Linked DNA regions of Pelodiscus sinensis. Each later gene encodes a partner of the first gene's protein in a complex. Links are inferred from orthologs where the notes say so. Each region holds a gene or a part of one and is shown in the gene's direction. Other genes may lie near its edges.

The links.
Region 2: the proteins of TIMM10 (region 1) and TIMM10B are in contact, whole or in part, in a cryo-EM structure (PDB 7CGP), measured with the Homo sapiens proteins. The link is inferred for Pelodiscus sinensis from reciprocal best matches to the Homo sapiens genes TIMM10 and TIMM10B. Residues at the interface, in NP_036588.1 of Homo sapiens: Ala6, Leu9, Leu13, Glu16, Met17, Asp20, Met21, Arg24, Ala28, Lys32, Cys50, Asp52, Arg53, Cys54, Ser56, Lys57, Tyr58, Asp60, Ile61, His62, Glu63, Arg64, Met65, Gly66, Lys68, Leu69, Leu72, Asp76; in NP_036324.1 of Homo sapiens: Gln7, Leu11, Leu14, Arg15, Phe17, Leu18, Leu19, Tyr21, Asn22, Arg23, Met24, Thr25, Glu26, Cys28, Phe29, Val33, Pro34, Ser35, Leu36, His37, His38, Arg39, Leu41, Glu46, Leu49, His50, Ala53, Gly54, Ile57, His61.

The regions. Positions count from the first base shown.
Region 1 is NC_134714.1:128,460,852-128,470,254, reverse strand, and holds TIMM10 (mitochondrial import inner membrane translocase subunit Tim10), read left to right. Parts: upstream 1-5,831; 5' UTR 5,832-5,988; intron 5,989-6,633; 5' UTR 6,634-6,653; coding exon 6,654-6,724; intron 6,725-7,645; coding exon 7,646-7,847; 3' UTR 7,848-7,956; downstream 7,957-9,403. Other genes in the region: SMTNL1 (smoothelin-like protein 1), read right to left, coding at 74-206, 412-1,275.
Region 2 is NW_027466033.1:418,266-428,319, reverse strand, and holds TIMM10B (mitochondrial import inner membrane translocase subunit Tim10 B), read left to right. Parts: upstream 1-6,422; 5' UTR 6,423-6,544; coding exon 6,545-6,580; intron 6,581-8,399; coding exon 8,400-8,495; intron 8,496-8,661; coding exon 8,662-8,889; 3' UTR 8,890-9,211; downstream 9,212-10,054. UniProt on the Homo sapiens protein: Component of the TIM22 complex, a complex that mediates the import and insertion of multi-pass transmembrane proteins into the mitochondrial inner membrane.

The DNA.
Region 1 (9,403 bases):
GTCTGTGCCGTGGGGATGCCGTGGGGGTGTCTCCTCCCTGGAGTCTCCCCTTCCCCAATCCCACTGGCCTTACCTGGCTGGGGAGCCCCCGTCTCCACCCTGATGGCAGCATCTCCTGTGGGGCTGGGTGCAGGCTCACCCCACTCTTCCTCCTCACCTCCTGTCTCTGGGGACAGCGGCTCCTCTGAGGTGCTCCCACTGTGCCCCTGGGAGGGGACAAAGCCCTTGAACAGGACCAGTCCCCTGCCCCCCAAATCCCATGAGTCCCCGACCCCCTGGTGGCCCAGGGCAACGGGGAGGGCTCGGGGGCACCCGCAGCACCTTCCCAGCACGCTAGCCCCATGGGAGATGTGAGGGGCTTCCCTCCTCTCCTCCACCCCATTGCCCTGTTTGCCCTGTGGGGACACTCACCTCTCTGGCCAGAGCACCGCTGGCCCCCTCAGCTCCAGCCCCTTGCTCCTCAGACACCTGCCTCTCTGGCTTGGCCCCGGCAGCCCCCTCCTGGGGTTCAGGCTCAGCCCCTCCTACTGCTGCCTTCTCCTCTGCCCCAGCCCCTTGCCCCTCTGCTCCAGCCCCAATATCCCCAGCCTCACCACCCTGCTTAGCATCATTCCCAGAATCCTTTGCTCCCCCGGCCTCACTGCTCTGTTTAGCATCGCTCCCAGAATCCTTTGCTCCCCCGGCCTCACTGCTCTGCTTAGCATCGCTCCCAGAATCCTTTGCTCCCCCGGCCTCACTGCTCTGCTTAGCATCGCTCCCAGAATCCTTTGCTCCCCCGGCCTCACTGCTCTGCTTAGTATCGCTCCCAGAATCCTTTGCTCCCCCAGCCTCACTGCTCTGCTTAGCATCGCTCCCAGAATCCTTTGCTCCCCCGGCCTCACTGCTCTGCTTAGCATCGCTCCCAGAATCCTTTGCTCCCCCGGCCTCACTGCTCTGCTTAGCATCGCTCCCAGAATCCGTTGCTCCATTGGCCTCTATGCCCCCCTTTGTATTACTCCCAGAATCCCCTGCTGCCCCAGCCTCAGCACCCTGCTTAGCATCACTCCCAGAATCCCCTGCTGCCCCAGACTCAGGATCCTGCTTAGCATCACTCCCAGAATCCCCTGCTTCCCTGGCCTCACCCTGCTTAGCATCACTCCCAGAATCCCCTGCTTTCCCCTTTTCCCCCAGCCCATCCTTGCCCCCCGCTGCCTCCACCCCTTCAGCCTCCTTGGCCGTGGCCCCGGGCTCCTCTGCCATCAGTGCAGGGTTGGGGGTGGCTTCCTGCGCCTCCATCTCTGGAAGGAGACAAGAAGCATGTGGTCAAATGGAGGCAGCAGGGATCCAGACTGGGGCTGTGAATGGCCCTTGACAGACCTGTCCAGGGACTGGCCTCCCAGCCTCCCCGGGCTCTGTCCACCCCTGCCCCAAGCCCCACCCTTGGCATGGCTGGGGTAGGAGGCGGCGGGTTGCCCTCTGCTGACCATTCCTTGGCATAGTGGGGCCCTACCTAACTTCCAGGGCAGTTCTTTGCCGGGGATGGGGAACACTGATTAGGGCACCTTGGGGTGGGGTGGGAATGGGGGCAGACAGAGCCCCTGGTGTGGGGGAGCCGGAGGGAGTCCCTGCAATGGAGGGTTACACCCAGGGACCATGCGCAGGGGAATGGAGGGTGCCAGGCGCCCCGGGATCCTGCAGCGAGTTTGACTCACATCAGCGAGGTGAGGCTCTGCAGTAAATACCCCAGGACCTTCCTAGGCCCAGGGGAAGTGGCCAGGGAGGCCAGTGGGGTGGGCTGTGCTGACAACCTGCTCGGGCAGGATGGTGGCCAGGCTGGGTACTGGCCCTTTAAAGCAAGGGGGGGCACTTCCCCATCACTGAGTAAACAATCCCTAGGGCCTGGAACAGGCCTCTGACTCAGGCACCAAACGTGCAGGGGGGGGGGGGTGTCTTAGGAGGGGACAAGGGACCCCCCTCAGCAGCTAAATATACCCCTGACATTTACCTCTCTGCCAGACCCAGGCAACAAGGGATTTGCCAACTGCTGCCCCAAATACTCCCCCCATAGTAAACTGCCTGCAACCCCAAGCTTCCCCCAGTTCTGCTTGTGCCCCACCACCCTGCCCCACCATTCCTTGCTAGCCCAGCCCCAGGCTCACCCCAGCTTTGCCAGTGCCCCACAATTCCCACCTGTTGCTACCTACTAGCCCAGCCCTGAGCTCCGCCCGACTCTGCCAGTGCCCCACAATCCTGCCCTCCATCCCCTGCTAGCTCAGCCCCAGACTGTCCCCCAGCTTTGCCAGTGCCCCACAGCCCCGGTTATTCCAGGCCTGGGCTCCCACGACCTGCCTTTGATACAGATGGTCTCCCCCAGTGCCTGGGGAAGGGAAGAGGGATCGGGGGTGTTTCCAGGGCATCCTAAGCCAGGGCAGGGGGTGTCTCCAGCCCACCCAGCTCCCCTACTGGAGGGGTTTATTCAATGCCCCACCCCTCCGGCCCTCCCTGGAGTCAGGGTGCTGGGCAGGGCTGCACCCACCTGCCGGCTGCTCCGTGGGACAGGCTGGTTCTGGGCTCAGTCCCGTCTGTCCTGCGCTTTGTGTTACAGCTCTTTGGAGCAGCACGGCCTATTTTTACCAGGAGGGAACAGGTGCCACTTTCATTCATGCTCCTTCACCCTGCCAGCTCCTCTGCCCCCTCCCCTAATGGCAGGGGGGATCCACTCTCCCAGAGTGACCCCCCCCAGAGGAGCTTGACAGGTTATGGGGGGATCCCACTTGGCAGGGGACCTTCAGGTGGCAAATGGGAAAGTGGGCCACAGGGGACCCCACCCCAACTACAATAGGAACCCCTCCCCCATGCCAGGGTGCTGCCAGCTGTCCAGCTTGGCACCAGAGCTGGAGCTAACAGAGCCATGGGGTCACCCTGCTCCCAGGGGTCTCTTTCCCACTGGGGTGTGGGCCAGGGGGCTGTCGTCACCCCTCCCCCCAGTACTGTCATTACTTAGGCAGCTCTGCCACCCTGTGGCCAGGCCTAGGAATTACAGGTGCACCCCTAGGTGGGTGACCATAGCAGAGTCCTCAGTCCCTCCCAAACCCGTGAGATACAGGTACTTCACTGCTGGATTTGGGGGTTACTTCCCACTGCACAGGCGGGACTCAGTTTTCCAGCCAATCAGGAAGGAGACTCTCCCCCTTCCCCGTAACTGGGGAACATCCAGGCCACCCAGGGTAGCACAACTGGTCTCTATCCTCAAGGGCAGGCAGCTCTGGGGCCTGGCTCACCAGCCTGGCCAGATGCTGGGGCTGAGACACTGTTGTGCGAGATGGTCATAAATGGGGCAGAAGGAAAAGACAGGGCAGGTTCCACCCAATCCAGTGCCCAGGCAGCTCCCTCTGCAGCTGTTACCTGCCTTCCCCTGGCATCTATGGCTTAGCCATACCCGATGCCTCCCTCCTAAAGGCAAAGGCTGCATGCTCTCGAGCAGTGTTTCCCAAATGGTGTTCCACGGAACCCCGGGGTTCCCCGAAGTAAAAATAAGGGTTCCGCACGAAAATTCCATTCCAATAACATTTTCTTATTAAAAAAATAATATTGAAGCATTTATTAATTTTATTGACAACAATTTTCATTTGTGTTTGCCACAATAAGTGTCCCTGTGTAATGCCAGCTTAGCCAGAGAGTGGGGATGATGACGTCACTAGTCAGTGCTGATGTCCATCTATTAGACTGTTATTAGGGATTCTGCAAAATTCTTTTGAGTTTAAAAGGGTTCCATGGCTAAATTAAATTGGGAAATGCTGCTCTGGTGGGTAGAGCTGGGAACTGGGAGTCAGGAGAACTGGGTTCAGTCCTGATTCTGAACTTGGGCGAGTCTCTGCCCCTGTTTCCCCATGTGTAATACAGGGGCGGGGCACGACAAAGCAGGTGCACACACTGCCAAGGACGAGCTGCCTGGCTCTGTATTTAGTACAAGGCTCTGACCATCGCTGGCTCAGAGGCCAACAGCAGCTGTTAGGAGGACACAGAGTCCCATGCATTTGTTAATGGCAGGCAGGTGGTAAGGCTGGCAGCCAGGCTAGGGCATGTACTTATGAAATGTATGGGGCTTGATCGGACAGATCCTACCTCAGCTCCACTGGCGGTGGGGTCCACACTATAGTGTTGCTCTTTCTCTCTGGGGCCTATGGCGAGAGGTGTTGCCTGCCTGGGCTCAAAGGGAGAGAGGGGCTGATGGTGCCCGACACAATGGTACTGGCTGTGCCCAGGCTCCGGAGGCTCTGCTCCTGGCCTGATCCGCCTCCGTGGACAGGGGACTCTGGGAGCCTATGGCAAATAACGTCACAGCCCCACCCTCAGCCGGCCCCCTATGTACTCACCCCATGACCCCCTCCCCACAGCCTGTGTCACCCCACAGCCCGACAGGCCTCCACTGCAATCACCCTCGCCCCATAACCCCTCCCCGCAGCCTGTGTCACCACACAGCCCGACAGGCCCCACTGCAATCACCCCCACCCTATAACCCCTCCCCACAGCCTGTCACCCCACAGCCCGACAGCCCCCACTGCAATCACCCCCACCCTATAACCCCTCCCCACAGCCTGTGTCACCCCACAGCCCGACAGCCCCCACTGCAATCACCCCCACCCCATAACCCCTTCCCACAGCCTGTGTCACCCCACAGCCCGACAGGCCCCACCGCAATCACCCCCACCCCATAACCCCTCCCCACAGCCTGTGTCACCCCACAGCCCGACAGGCCCCACCGCAATCACCCCCACCCCATAACCCCTCCCCACAGCCTGTGTCACCCCACAGCCCGACAGGCCCCACTGCAATCACCCCCACCCCATAACCCCGCCCCACAGCCTGTGTCACCCCACAGCCCGCAGCCCCCACTGCAATCACCCCCACCCTATAACCCCTCCCCACAGCCTGTGTCACCCCACAGCCCGACAGCCCCCACTGCAATCACCCCCACCCTATAACCCCTCCCCACAGCCTGTCACCCCACAGCCCGACAGCCCCCACTGCAATCACCCCCACCCTATAACCCCTCCCCACAGCCTGTCACCCCACAGCCCGACAGCCCCCACTGCAATCACCCCCACCCCATAACCCCGCCCCACAGCCTGTGTCACCCCACAGCCCGCAGCCCCCACTGCAATCACCCCCACCCTATAACCCCTCCCCACAGCCTGTGTCACCCCACAGCCCGACAGCCCCCACCGCAATCACCCCCACCCTATAACCCCTCCCCACAGCCTGTCACCCCACAGCCCGACAGCCCCCACTGCAATCACCCCCACCCCATAACCCCGCCCCACAGCCTGTGTCACCCCACAGCCCGCAGCCCCCACTGCAATCACCCCCATTCAACCCCCCACTCTCCCAGCCGGTCCCATCCCTGCTGTCCCTGAAGCCCCGGGGGATCCCAACCTGCCCGCTTTTGGGGGCCTCTCTCCCTCCCCTGCGCCCCACCAAGGGGCTGAACCCCTGCAACGCCCACCCCCCACCGGACGGGGGCACTGCTCCTTCAGCTACGCTAGGCTCATTAGACCTCCCGGCTTGTCTAGCAACAACTAGCACTCTATGGTAACATGGCTGCGCCCATTCTCCCGCCTCACATCCGGTACGTTCTAGCCTCGGTCCTCCACCAGCTCTATGCTCTAATTGGGTTCCCCTCCTTCCCCTGGAGTCCCGGCACATCTCTATGGTTTGCAGCGGGCCCCTCTCGCCTCCTGCCCCTTCCCTCTCGCTCTCTGGCGGGTCACTCTGCGGAAGCGGAGTCCTCCACAAGCCGGAAGTGGGCGCCCCGCGTCTGACTCTATGGTACCACGGAGGAGAGAGGGGGGGGCCCATCGTACCGGAAGTACCTGTTCCCCGCATGTTTCCGGTTGGCGGCGGGGGGAACGTCACGTTACTGTGCAGCGTGGGGAGGGGAAAGGGGCTGCTGACCCCTGACCTCTGACCCCGGGGCTCAGCGACTCCTCCCCACGAGGAGCGCGCAGGGTGAGAGGGGCTCGGGGCTGCCCCTAGTCGGGGGGGGGGGGGTCAGGGACTTGCCCCCCCGCTGCATTGGCTGGGGCACATCGGCCCGGGGGGTTACAAGGGGGTATCATGGGGGGCGGGGTATCATGGGGGGCACATGGGGGGCGGGGCCCGCACGTGGGGGGTACATGGGGGGCAGGGTATCATGGGGGGCACATGGGGGGCGGGGCCCGCACGTGGGGGGTACATGGGGGGCAGGGTATCATGGGGGGCACATGGGGGGCGGCGCCTGCACGTGGGGGGTACATGGGGGGCGGGGTATCATGGGGGGCACATGGGGGGCGGCGCCTGCACGTGGGGGGTACATGGGGGGCGGGGTATCATGGGGGGCACATGGGGGGCGGCGCCTGCACGTGGGGGGTACATGGGGGCGGGGTATTGTGGGGGGCACACGGGGGCGGGGCCTGCACGTGGGGGGTTCATGGGGGGCGGGGTATTGTGGGGGCCACACGGGGGGGGCCCGCACGGGGGGGAGGCACATGGGGGGCGGGGCCTGCACGTGGAGGGTACATGGGGGGCGGGGTATCATGGGGGGCACTCGGGGGCGGGGCCCGCACGTGGGGGGGGGGGCACGCGTGGCAGGCCTGACAGACTCTGTGTTCCCAGGAGCAGGTCACTCGGGCGCGATGGATCCGCTCCGGGCCCAGCAGCTGGCGGCCGAGCTGGAGGTGGAGATGATGGCCGACATGTACAACAGGTAACGGCCCCTCATCACAGCGCCCTCCCCCCCCCCGGCATGCTGCGGGGGGTCACAGATTTGAAAGCCGGCAGGGGCCCTCTAAATTGGGGAGAGACCAAGAAAGAGGCACGAGAATGACTGAAGGGCTAGAAAACCTGCCTTCCAGTGATCGTCGAGGAGCTCAGTTCGCGTAGGGCAGTGGTTCCGAAACTTCGGCATCATACCCCCTTTTTGATTTTTGAAAAATCTCCCCCCCCCCCCCACACACAAAAAATAGCAGCAAAACTTGTTGAGAAATAAAATGATTGGGGGGAGGGATGCTGGGTCACCTCCCCACTCCTCCCCCCGGAATTTTTTCACGCCTCACCAACAGGGCATGCCCCCCAGTTTGGGAACCCATTAGGGTAACCAAGAGAAGTTTAAGTGCTGGCTGGGTCGGTTGGTAAGTACCTACATGGGAAATAGATGTTTAATAGTGGGGTTTCCTGCAAGATAGAGTCTAGCAGAGAAAGGTCTAATATGGTCCAGTAGCTGGAAGTTGGAGCTAGATACATTTAGACTGGAAATAAGGTGTGAGATTTTAATGGTGAGAGTAATTAGCCATTGGAGCAACTTCCTAGGATCGTGGTGTATTCCTCATCAGTGATGAGTTTTCAACCAAGATGGAATGTGGGTCACAATGAAGTGGAATTGGCACAGTGGTGGGTGTGCTGGAGCTGAGGACTGGAACATCAAAAGGCCACGGGTCGGGATTGAGAGGAATTGGCAGAGCTCTGAGCTGCAACAGCACGTTATTCAGGAGCACTGGCATAAATGTGGGCAGGATGTATGGAGGGAGCCCAGGATTGGGGTAGCAGGGAAGCCTGTGGGGAGGAGGCAGGACTAGGTTCACCCGGACACCTTTGGATTCTCATGCTCTCCCTCTCCTTGGTGGCCCAGAATGACCAATGCCTGTCACCGGAAGTGCGTCCCTCCCCACTACAAGGAGGCGGAGCTCTCCAAGGGGGAGTCTGTGTGCCTGGACCGCTGCGTCTCCAAGTACCTGGACATCCACGAGCGCATGGGCAAGAAACTGACAGAGCTCTCCATGCAAGATGAAGAGCTGATGAAAAGGATGCAGCAGGGGGCAGGACCGGCATAGGGACTTCCTCTTGAACATGGACAGCATGCATGATGGCCTGGCATCCTCCCTCACTGCAGCCTGGACTCACCCCTGTGCCTCCACCCCAAAATAAAACCTCTTTATGTGAGCTGGGTCTTTGCCTACAAGGACAGTTCAGAGACCTGGGGCTGTGATATACCAACTGGATGTTCTGCCCCACCCTTTTCTCTGGTGCCTTAGAATCATAGAATCATAGAATAATAGGACTGGAAGGGACCTCGAGAGGTCATCGAGTCCAGCCCCCCGCCCTCAAGGCAGGATCAAGCTCCGTCTACACCATCCCTGACAGATGTCTATCTAACCTGTTCTTAAATATCTCCAGAGAGGGAGATTCCACCACCTCCCTTGGCAATTTATTCCAATATTTGACCACCCTGACAGTTAGGAATTTTTTCCTAATGTCCAATCTAAACCTCCCCTGCTGCACTTTAAGCCCATTACTCCTTGTCCTGTCCTCAGAAACCAAGAGGAACAAATTTTCGCCTTCCTCCTTGTGACACCCTTTTAGATATTTGAAAACCGCTATCATGTCCCCCCTTAATCTTCTTTTTTCCTTTTTTCCTTGCTCCATCCCTGAGTGGATACGATCCCAGTTCTGCTCTGTCCAGCTGACCCCCCATTTACCAGGCTGCGTCTGTACTTTTACCGCTTCGTGGAAGGAATGGGTTAGTCAGGGTGGTTTCCTACAAGATAGAGTAATTGTATGGGAGGCCAGTTTGGCATCTGGCTGTTTTTTCCTCTGCCAGTACCCCAGCGTGGCTCTAGGGTGGGCAAACCTTGTAGGCATCTAAGTAGGCAAATTGTATGGCAGGCCATAAATGCTCGCTGGCCTGACCTCCTCCCAGTGGCAGATTGGCCACTGGCCCAAAGGGGTGTGCCCAGGGGCCCCTGCCAATTGGGGAGCTGCGGAAAAATGGGCGCCTCTCCGTTGCCAGCAGCTCTGACCTCCGACTCAGTGGTGGAGCTAGGAAGCAGACGGTGAAGGGGGCAAGCACCTGAGCACACTCCCTGGTGGGAGCTCCAGGGCTGGATGAAAAAGTCTGATGTGCTGGATGTGACCTGTGGGTCCTAGTTTGCTCATCCCTCCCCTAGGGGAGGTGCTCTGCTGTGGGGAAGTGTGTGTCTCTCTCTCCCTGGTGCTCTGTAACGCTCCACCCCTCTTTCGTTGTACTGATTAGTTCCTTTGGCACTTTCACTTGAGGCAGTGTGTGACGGGCAGGATCCTGATCCTGTTTGGATAACCTCCCCCACAGCCATCCTGGCACTTCCTGTCCCAAACTCCTAGTGGAAGGGTATTCCGCTTTGATCGCCTCCCACCCCAGCAGTGGCTGCAGATCCATGCCCGTGTGAAGAGCTTGCCTCCTTGGCCAACTCCTGGCAAGCACAGCTGACCGCTGTTGCTTTGTGTGTCCACCAGGGTGCCCTGCAGAGCTCGTGGATTTTAATAACCATGCTGGTCTAACAGCTCCTGGCTGTGGTACAGGTTTTACAACTCAGGATATTAATTGGGTCATTTCCTCTTCTTTGTCTCCTCA
Region 2 (10,054 bases), on another chromosome or scaffold:
CAGGGGGCCGTGGGGGACTGCTGGGCATCGGTGGGTGCTGCTGCAGCTGCCGGCACATGGGCTAGGGCTGCCCCTTCAGACCCTGAGCCCAGGGTACAGCACAAAGCCCAGAGGAGGGACGGGCCGTTCGGCTGCTGGTGGGTCAGTCTTGGCCAGCCCCCCAGCTGCTCTCAACTGAGTAGATCTGGCTCCTGCATGGACAAGCAGTCCTATGCTGTGGCTTGGCACCCGCCACCCCTCCCCTCTGACCTGCCGGCTGGACGCGGCGGGGGCGGGGCTGGGCTGCAGGAGCCTGTCCCCAGGAGCCTGGTCAGACTGCGCAGTCTGGGGTCACGGGGCTCAGAGAAAAGAGGGGCTGCCCCAGAGTCCTGCCTGGCCACCTCTGAGACACGGTGACACTGCCCCGCCCCCCCAAGGCCGTGCATTCACCCCAATCTCACTACCTTGGCCAGCCCCTCCCCTCCGCCCGACACGCCCCCCAGCCCAGCCCCTCCCCTCCCCTCGGCACAACACCTCTCACCCCAACACGCCCTCCCGCCTGGCACCTCCTACCTCCAGGCTCCTGCAGTCTGGAGCTACCCCCCAATGTGATCATCTAACCTGCCCCCCCCCCCCAAGGTACCCCTAAGTGCCATCAGTGCCCATCTGCGTACCTGTTCCAGGCCATCGTCCTCCGGCAGGCTGCCTGTATCTCCACGGCCGTTGATGGGGATCTCCATGGTGGCCGCTTTACTCATGAGCCCGTCTGTCATCTTCAGGGCCTGGGAAAAAGGGGTGCTAAGATGCCAGCAGCCTGTGTGTGGCCTCACTCTCTGGAGATCGTTCCCCTGGCTGCTCCCAAGGCTGTGTCAGCTGGACATCCCAACAGCACCCATCCCCTGGATACTGGCCCCTGAAAGCAGCCAGAAGCACCCCGGGGCTCAGCCCTAACGGCACCCACAGGGATGGGCACCGATTTATCCCCCCTCCTGGATACCCACCCTTGAGAGCAGCCATCTGCACCAATAAGATCAGAGCGGCCATGCTGGGTCGGACCAAAGGCCCATCCAGCCCAGTGTCTGTCGGCTCACAGTGGCCAGCGCCAGGTGCCCCAGAGGGAGTGAACAGAGCAGGGAATTGTCCAGTGATCCCTCCCCCGTCGCCCATTCCCAGCCTGCTCGCTGTTCTTCAAACTCCTTTATGGCTCCTCTTAGTATATTTTTACACTTCATTTGACAATGTTTATGCTCCTATTTTCCTCACCAGGATTTAACTTCCACTTTTTAAACGATGCCTTTTTATTTCTCAGTTCTTCTATGACCTGCTTGTGAAGCCCACGGTGGCACTTTTTTTGGTTCTCTTACTGTGCTTTTTAATTTGGGGGCTACATCAGAGTTGGGCCTCTCTTATGGTGTCTTTGAACAATGTCCTTGCAGCTTGCAGGGATTTTACTTTTGTCACTGGACTTTTTAATTTCTGTTTAACTAACCTCCACGTTTGTGTGCAGTTCCCCTTCTTGAAACGAAATGTCACAGTGTTGGGCTGCTGAGGTGTTCTTCCCACCACAGGAATATGACATTTTATTACATTATGGTCACTATTTCCAAGCGGTCCAGTTACATTTACTTCTTGGACCAGATCCTGCGCTCCACTCAGGACTAAATCAAGAACAACCCGTCCCCTTGTGGGTTCCAGAACCAGCTACTCCAAGAAGTAGCCATATAACGTATCAAGAAATGGTATTTTTGCATCCCGTCCTCAGATGACGTGTACCCAGTTAATATGGGGATAGTTGAAATCCCCCATGATTATTGAGCTTTTTAATTTGATAGCCTCTCTAATCTCCCTTAGCATTCCACAACCTGTTCTGTCCTTCCAATATATTTTGTACCCTGGTATGACTGTGTCCCATTGATTGTCCTCATTCCACCAAGTTTCCGTGTTGCCTATTACATCAATGTCCTCCTTTAAAGTTAGGCACTCCAGTTCAACCATTTTACTATTTAGACTTCTAGCATTTGTGTATAAGCGCTTTCATAATTTGTCACTATTTGTCTGTCTGCCATTTCCTGATGTGTTAACTCTCTTCATTTGATTGTGTCTCCTCTGATCTGACCCAAAATTCCATCCTCTCATCCTGACTAGAACTTACAGCATCTAATGACATGAGAAGTCATTCTTCCGCGCTACTCTGCGCTGGTCAGGCCTCAATTGGAGTATTGTGTCCAGTTCTGGGCACCGCATTTCAAGACAGATGTGGAGAAATTGGAGAGGGTCCAGAGAAGAGCAACAAGAATGTTGAAAGGTCTAGAGAACATGACCTATGAGGGAAGGCTGCAGGAATTGGGTTTGTTTAGTTTAGAAAAGAGAAGACTGAGGGGGGACATGATAGCAGTTTTCAGGTATCTAAAAGGGTGTCATAAGGAGGAGGGAGAAAAATTGTTCATCTTGGCCTCTGGGGATAGAACAAGAAGCAATGGGCTTAAACTGCAGCAGGGGAGGTTTAGGTTGGACATTAGGAAAAAGTTCCTGTCAGGGTGGTCAAACACCAGGGAGGTTGTGGAATCCCCATCTCTGGGGATATTTAAGAGCAGGTTAGATAAATGTCTATCAGGGATGGTCTAGACAGTATTTGGTCCTGCCATGAAGGCAGAGGACTGGACTCGATGACTCTCGAGGTCCCTTCCAGTCCTAGTATTCTATGATCTCTATTAATAGACCCTGCCCTAAGAGATGTGTCTGTCTGATCCACGTGCTCCTTTGCACCTGTCGGCTTTTCCCATTAAATGCCAGCAGTTTGGTTCCATTTTGGTTTAGGTGGAGCCCATCCTTCCTGTCTAGGCTCCCCCTCTCCCAAAAGTTTCCCTAGTTCGTAATAAATCTAAACCCCTCCTCCCTACACCATCGTCTCATCCCCGCATTGAGATTCTGAAGCTCCGCCTGCCTACCTGGCCCTGCGCGTGGAACTGGAAGCGTTTCTGAGAACACCCCCATAGAGCTTCTGGATTTCAGTCTCTTTCCTAGCAGCCTAAATTTGTCCTCCAGAACCTCTCTCCCACCCTTGCCTATGTCAATGGTACCTACATGTACCACGACCACTGGCTGCTCCCCAGCACTACACATAAGTCTGTCTAGATGCCTCGAGAGATCCACAACCTTGGCACCAGGCAGGCAAGTGACCATCCGGTTCTCACAGTCATCGCAAACCCAGCTCTCAATGTTTCTAACGATCAAATCCCCCATTACTAACACCTGCCTCTTCCTACTGATGGGAGTTCCCTCCCCAGAGAGGCAGCCTTGATGCGGGAGGAGACCCCACATCCTCTGGAAGAAGGGTCCCAATTATGGGATAGTTCCCCTCTGTTCCAGTTGACTCTTCTCCCTCCTTAGCAGCACAGGGGCTGCCTGACTGGAGGTAGGAGCTCAGTCCCAATGCATCCCAGAGACTGGCACTGATTTATACCCCTGGATCCCGGCCCCCCAAAGCAGCCTGGGCACACGCTATCCAAGCAAGGGCCAGCCCGACGTTGCTCTTGGTGCCAGCAAGGCCTGCAGCACATGGGTCTCAGGTGTTCCAGCACTAGCAGCTCCCAGCCTCCCTCCTCCGTCAGCTCCAGGCCTCCCGAGTGCGGGGCACCTCCACAGCAGAGCGACAGCAACAAACATGCCCCAGGTTCCCTCCCTCCTCCCCGGAGGCCTCTGCTCAGGAGCCTGCTCCTGGCCCCCCTTGGCTGCCTGCACCTGCCAGCCTGGCCGAGAACAATGGGCCCTGTATACGTGGCACCAGGAGTCAGCCGCTGCCAGAGCCTCCCAAGCCTGCTCTGCCTCCCCAGCACACCCAGGGCAGCGCAGGCCAAAGCCCATAGACCCACCCTGCTCTTCCACTCTTGGCCAAAGCAGGCCCTGGGAGCCAAGGGGCCCGCAGGCCTTGCTGGCTAGAGGCAGCGTCGCAGCAGGGGTTCAGGGACACACACCAGGCTCATAGGAGACGCAGTGGTGCGGCTGTGGGTGTCTTCACTCCCTGCGGCATTGACGGGCAGAGACCGAATCAGGGGGCTCCGTTGGTCGCGCCTAGTTCACAAAGAACATAGCTGAAGCCGACCTCAGGTCTGCTGACTGGGGGATCTTCACAGTGGGAAATCGACGGCCGGGCCTTCTCCCACTGACCCCAGCAGGAAGCAGACCTAAGAACGCTGCGTTAGTCACGTAGCAATGTTGTGTACCTTGGGTGGACAGCCCGCGGCGGCAGAGACAAGGCCTCTGACTCAGCCCAGAGGGCAGCCGTATGACCCAAGAGCACAGCTGAAAACTTTGAGTTCCCCTGCACCCCACCCCGATCCCTGAGCTGTGTCCTGCCCGGGCACCGGGCTGCCCACCCTCCAGAGACCATGGCTCAGCCAGACCCACGTTGCCTAGGGTGGTCTCAGCCCCGCGTCCTCAAGCAACTCCCCTGGGTACCGCTTCCCTGAGGTGAAGCCGCACCCAGATGCTGGGACCTTCCTGGATCCGACTCAGCTCTGTGCTAGTGAGTTCCACAGGCCCATTCTGCGCTGGGAAAAGAAATCTCCCCTTTGCTCCCTGCCATTTGCAGTCACTCAGACCACGCCAGCCACCGCAGAGCAGGCCGTGTGGAACGGGCAGCCCCAAGAAGCATCTGTTGCCCTGCAGCACAGGTGGAGGGATCGCTCCCCTTGGGGCAGCAGCAGTCTGCCTCACGCCATCTCCTGAGCTCGGCAGCAGGGGGGAGGGTGCGGGACACACCTGGGCCCGGCAGCTGAGCGGCTCCTGGCCCATTGCCACCAGGCACGTGCCCCGTGCCCTGCAGCAGAAGCTAGGAGAGCTCGTGCCACAGAAGGGACCCTGCTTCATGGGCAGGAGCCATTCTGCAGCTGGCTTCTGCCTCTAGAGTAAGGGGCCCCTCCAGCCTGCCCGCCTGCTACAGAAAACCATGCTAGAGGGACCCCCCAGCACTGGCAGGCCCCTGCCCGGGCACGGCACTCTGCCTGACAAACCCTGGGCCCAGCGAGCGCCCGGCTGGGCAGGGCCCCACCGTGGACACGCTGAGCCCTCCTGCGCAGAGCAGGGAGCTATGGGCAGACTAGGCTGGGAAAACACCTGAGCCGGAGCAGCTGGCCCAGGCAGCCCAACCGGTCAGTGCACATTCTACAGCAGGCGGCCCGCACCAGCTCCCGTTACCTGGCTCCCAGGCCTGGGACGCCTGCCCCACGGCAGGGGGAGCAGGACACCCCAGCACCGGGCTGGCGGGGCAGCGAGCCCTGGGAATCAGCCCCCGGCTCCCTGCAGCACCAGGCAGGCAGAGCCACTGGAGCCTGCTCCCCAGGCACCGAACCGAGCAGAGTCCGAGGTGCCAAAGCCCCCAGCTCCTTACCACAGGCCCACCCAGGGCCAAACGGACCCCGCGCCAAGCCAGGCAGGCCCAGTCCCACCCTGCTGGGCCCCCTGAGCTGGGCCCTGTGGAGCCCCAGCCACAAGTGCCCACGGGGCGGCACCCGGCAAAGCCCCCAGCAGAGAAGAGAGGGACCCTCCCCCTCCCCAGGCCCGCTGCCCAGCCCCAGCTCCACGGACCCCCTCCCTCGCCCCTCTCCCGTGGACCCCCTCCCCTCCCCAGCTCCATGGACCCCCTCCCTCGCCCCTCTCCCAAGGACCCCCTCCCCTGCCCCCTGCCCAGCTCCTCCCCCTCCCCAGCTCCATGGACCCCCTCCCTCGCCCCTCTCCCATGGACCCCCTCCCCTGCCCAGCTCCATGGACCACCTCCCTCGCCCCTCTCCCATGGACCCCCTCCCCTGCCCAGCTCCATGGACCCCCTCCCTCGCCCCTCTCCCATGGACCCCCTCCCCTGCCCAGCTCCATGGACCCCCTCCCTCGCCCCTCTCCCATGGACCCCCTCCCCTCCCCAGCTCCATGGACCCCCTCCCTCGCCCCTCTCCCATGGACCCCCTCCCCTGCCCAGCTCCATGGACCCCCTCCCTCGCCCCTCTCCCATGGACCCCCTCCCCTGCCCCCCTCCTCCCCCTCCCCAGCTCCATGGACCCCCTCCCTCGCCCCTCTCCCAAGGACCCCCTCCCCTGCCCCCTGCCCAGCTCCTCCCCCTCCCCAGCTCCATGGACCCCCTCCCTCGCCCCTCTCCCATGGACCCCCTCCCCTGCCCAGCTCCTCCCCCTCCCCAGCTCCATGGACCCCCTCCCTCGCCCCTCCCCCATGGACCCCTGCCCCAGTCCACGACCCCCGGCGCGGCCCCTCCCCCACCTGCTCCGGCGCCGGAGGCTCCGGCCGTGGATCCGCCTCGGCCGGAACAGACCGGAAGCCACGTCAGGAGCCGGGCAGCGGCGCAAGAGACAGGCGGAACTGACACCATCGCCAAAGAGGAACTCACGCCATGAAGTGCCACGTGACCCGGAAACAAGAGGGAGGGCGACCGGAAGTGACGCAATGGATGCGCAGAAAAGTGTCCTCTGAGCGTGGCAGAGGGTGACGTCAGACGCAGGGCGGAAGTGCGAGCGAGGTCAAGCAGAGTCGGGCGGAGGACTGGTCACGTGGGCTGGGCATGGAGCCTGCGGGGGAGCAACAGCAGCTTCGCAACGTGCGTGGGGGCGGGGCCAGCGGGGGCGCCGGGAGTGTGGGGGGGGGAGGCGCCGGGAGTGTAGGGAGGGGGGGGGGCCGCCGGGAGTGTAGGGAGGGGGGGGGGCCGCCGGGAGTGTAGGGAGGGGGGAGGCGCCGGGAGTGTAGGGGGGGGGGCGGCCGCCGGGAGTGTAGGGAGGGGGGGGGGCCGCCGGGAGTGTAGGGAGGGGGGGGGGCCGCCGGGAGTGTAGGGAGGGGGGGGGGGCCGCCGGGAGTGTAGGGAGGGGGGGGGGGCCGCCGGGAGTGTAGGGGGGGGGGGCGCCGGGAGTGTAGGGAGGGGGGGGGCCGCCGGGAGTGTAGGGAGGGGGGGGGCGGCGCCGGGAGTGTAGGGAGGGGGGGGAGGCGCCGGGAGTGTAGGGAGGGGGGGGGCCGCCGGGAGTGTAGGGAGGGGGGGCGGCAGTGCGGGAAAGGGGGCTGGGAGCGTGCGGGGGGGGGCCAGCAGTGTGGGGGGGCGCTGGGAGTGTATGGAGGGGGGCCGGCAGCGCGGGGGGCCGTTGGGAGTGTATGGAGGGGGGTGCCGGCAGTGCGGGGGGCCGCCGGGAGTGTAGGGGGGGGCCGCCGGCAGTGTATGGAGGGGGGCGCCGGCAGTGCGGGGGGGGCGCTGGGAGTGTATGGAGGGGGGGCGCCGGCAGTGCGGGGGGGGCGCTGGGAGTGTATGGAGGGGGGTGCCAGCAGTGCATGGAGGGGGGGGACGCTGGGAGTGTATGGAGGGGGGCGCCGGCAGTGCGGGGGGGGGCGCTGGGAGTGTATGGAGGGGGGGCGCCGGCAGTGCGGGGGGGGCGCTGGGAGTGTATGGAGGGGGGTGCCAGCAGTGCATGGAGGGGGGGGCGCTGGGAGTGTATGGAGGGGGGGCGGCAGTGCGGGGGCTGCTGGGAGTGTATGGAGGGGGGGCGGCAGTGCGGGGTCCGCCGGGAGTGTAGGGAGGGGAGGCCGTTGGGAGTGTATGGAGGGGGGCCGTTGGGAGTGTATGGAGGGGGGGCGGCAGTGCGGGGGCCGCCGGGAGTGTATGGAGGGGGGGGCCGCCGGGAGTGTATGGAGGGGGGCGGCAGTGCGGGGGGCCGCCGGGAGTGTATGGAGGGGGGGTGCCGGCAGTGTGGGGGGCCGCTGGGAGTGTATGGAGGGGGGGCGCCGGGAGTGCGGGGGGGCCGTTGGGAGTGTATGGAGGGGGGGCCGTTGGGAGTGTATGGAGGGGGGGGCCGGCAGTGCGGGGGGCCGCTGGGAGTGTATGGAGGGGGGGCCGTTGGGAGTGTATGGGGGGGGGCGGCAGTGCGGGGGCCGCCGGGAGTGTATGGAGGGGGGGCGCTGGGAGTGTATGGAGGGGGGGCGGCAGTGCGGGGGTCCGCTGGGAGTGTAGGGGGGGGCCGTTGGGAGTGTATGGAGGGGGGGGCCGTTGGGAGTGTATGGAGGGGGGGCGGCAGTGCGGGGTCTGCTGGGAGTGTATGGAGGGGGGTGCCGGCAGTGCGGGGGGCCGCTGGGAGTGTATGGAGGGGGCCGCTGGGAGCGTACGGTGGGGTGCCGGCAGGTCAAGGGGGTGTGCCCCCTGCCTGTGTGTTCCCTGGGGTGGATCCGGCACAGGCGTACAGTAACCTGGGGCTGCCCGGTTCTGCGGGGCCCTGCTGAGAACGGGCCCACTCTATGCCGAGTCTCCGTCCACAGGGCCATTTGGCCCTGTCGGGCAGGGCATCTGGCTGTCCAGCTGCGCAACGGGGAAGCGGGGTCTCTGCGAGGACGGGGGGGCGATCTGGAGGCCAGTCGCACCCAGCTCCTTGCTCTCCTTGCAGCTGCGGGATTTCCTGCTGGTCTATAACAGGATGACGGAGCTCTGCTTCCTGCGCTGCGTCTCCAACCTGAACTACCGGGCACTCACCAGGGAAGAGGTGAGCCCTGGCCCAGCACCGGGGTTGGGGAGCTCTTCCTGGCGCACAGCTGGCAGGCTGGCTCATCCGGGCCATGGGCAGCCCGCTGTGTGGCAGGGGCCCTTGGGGAGGAATGGGCTCTGGTCCTGGTGGGGCTGGGTCCCTGTGATCTGCTTTGTCCCAGCAGGAGAACTGTCTGGACTGCTGTGCTGGGAAGCTCGTCCACTCCAACCACCGCCTCATGGGGGCCTACGTGCAGCTCATGCCCTCCCTGGTTCAGCGTCGCATCTCGGACTACGAGGCCGCCAGCGGCCAGGCAGCCCCAAGTGCCGTTGGAACTGAAACGCCCCCTAGCCGGCAGGTGGCTGCCAGTCTTGCCGTTGCTCCGGAAGGCACCTCCCAAGCCCTCAGCTAATTCCCTGCTCCCTGGCCTGTGGCCTGAGTGAGGAACAGCCCAGGGGGCATCAGAGCTGGGCCCTGCCTCGGGGCTGGAGCACTGCCTCTCCAGGCACTTCTGGGCCGGTCTGTGCCCTAGACGGAGCAGCCAGCAGCGCTGGGGCTGGGCCAGCCCACCTAACAGTGGGGCCTTCCGGCTGCTTGGGCCAGGCCATGGGTGCGCCGGTGGCAGGGCCCTGCTGAGGGTCTCTGGCCCCCGCAGCCGCCCTGTGCTGGGCGCTCTGCCCCAAGGCCAGGCTTTCTTGCAGCTGCTGCTTTGCAATAAACCAGTGTCCTCATGAGTCCCTGCGTGCGTGAGTGGCAGCTCACCACCGCCACAGACGCCCAAGGGGCCCGCCCCGGGGCCCCATGCTCCTCCCAAAGCTGTCTGCAGATCTTGAGGGGTGGAGGGACGATGCTCCAAACCAGTTGGCAGAGGCCAAGCAGGACTAGGGGTGGTCCCTCCTCTCTCTGAGCCCACTGACCTCTGGGCAAGAAACTTCCACAGCTTCGCCCTCCCCGAGTCTGGCCTCCGTCCATCCCTTGTGCTCCCCGCAGCAAGGCCGCCCAGCCGGGGCTCCTGGCAAGGTAGAACCCGGCCACCCGACTTCCCGATCAGCTGTGACCGCTGTTCCCAGTAAGCCGAGCGTGTGGACGGCTGCCCACAAGAAGTTCGTGCCACAAGCTGATTGGCACAGTGCCCATGGCGGGGAGCAGGGGTTTCTATGCATGGTGCACATCTCCACATGCCTCGGTGCTCACAACAAAATGCATTCCGCATATGAGCAGAACCATTCAGAGGACGCGTGGTCCATGGCTTTGCCTGGAACACAATGTAGAATGGCGCTTACCCCGTGAGAAAACTGGGCCTGGCTCTCCCCGTGAGCCCCCCTCAGCTGGCCGCCAGGCTCCTGACAGGCCCCTTGCTCCTTCCGGGGGGAAAGGCGTCCCCAGGCCTGAGCCCCCGATGGGCCGAGGTTCTAAAGGGCATCGCCCAGCTCCCCTACCCCAAGGCTCAGTAAGTCACACCCCCAATTCCCATCCCATCCAGGCCTGAGGGCCGCCCCGGGGAAACTGAGGCATGCCCAGTGCTCTTGGGAGGGAGCTGCTGCCAAAGCACACGCCCCACAACAGAACAAGTTGAC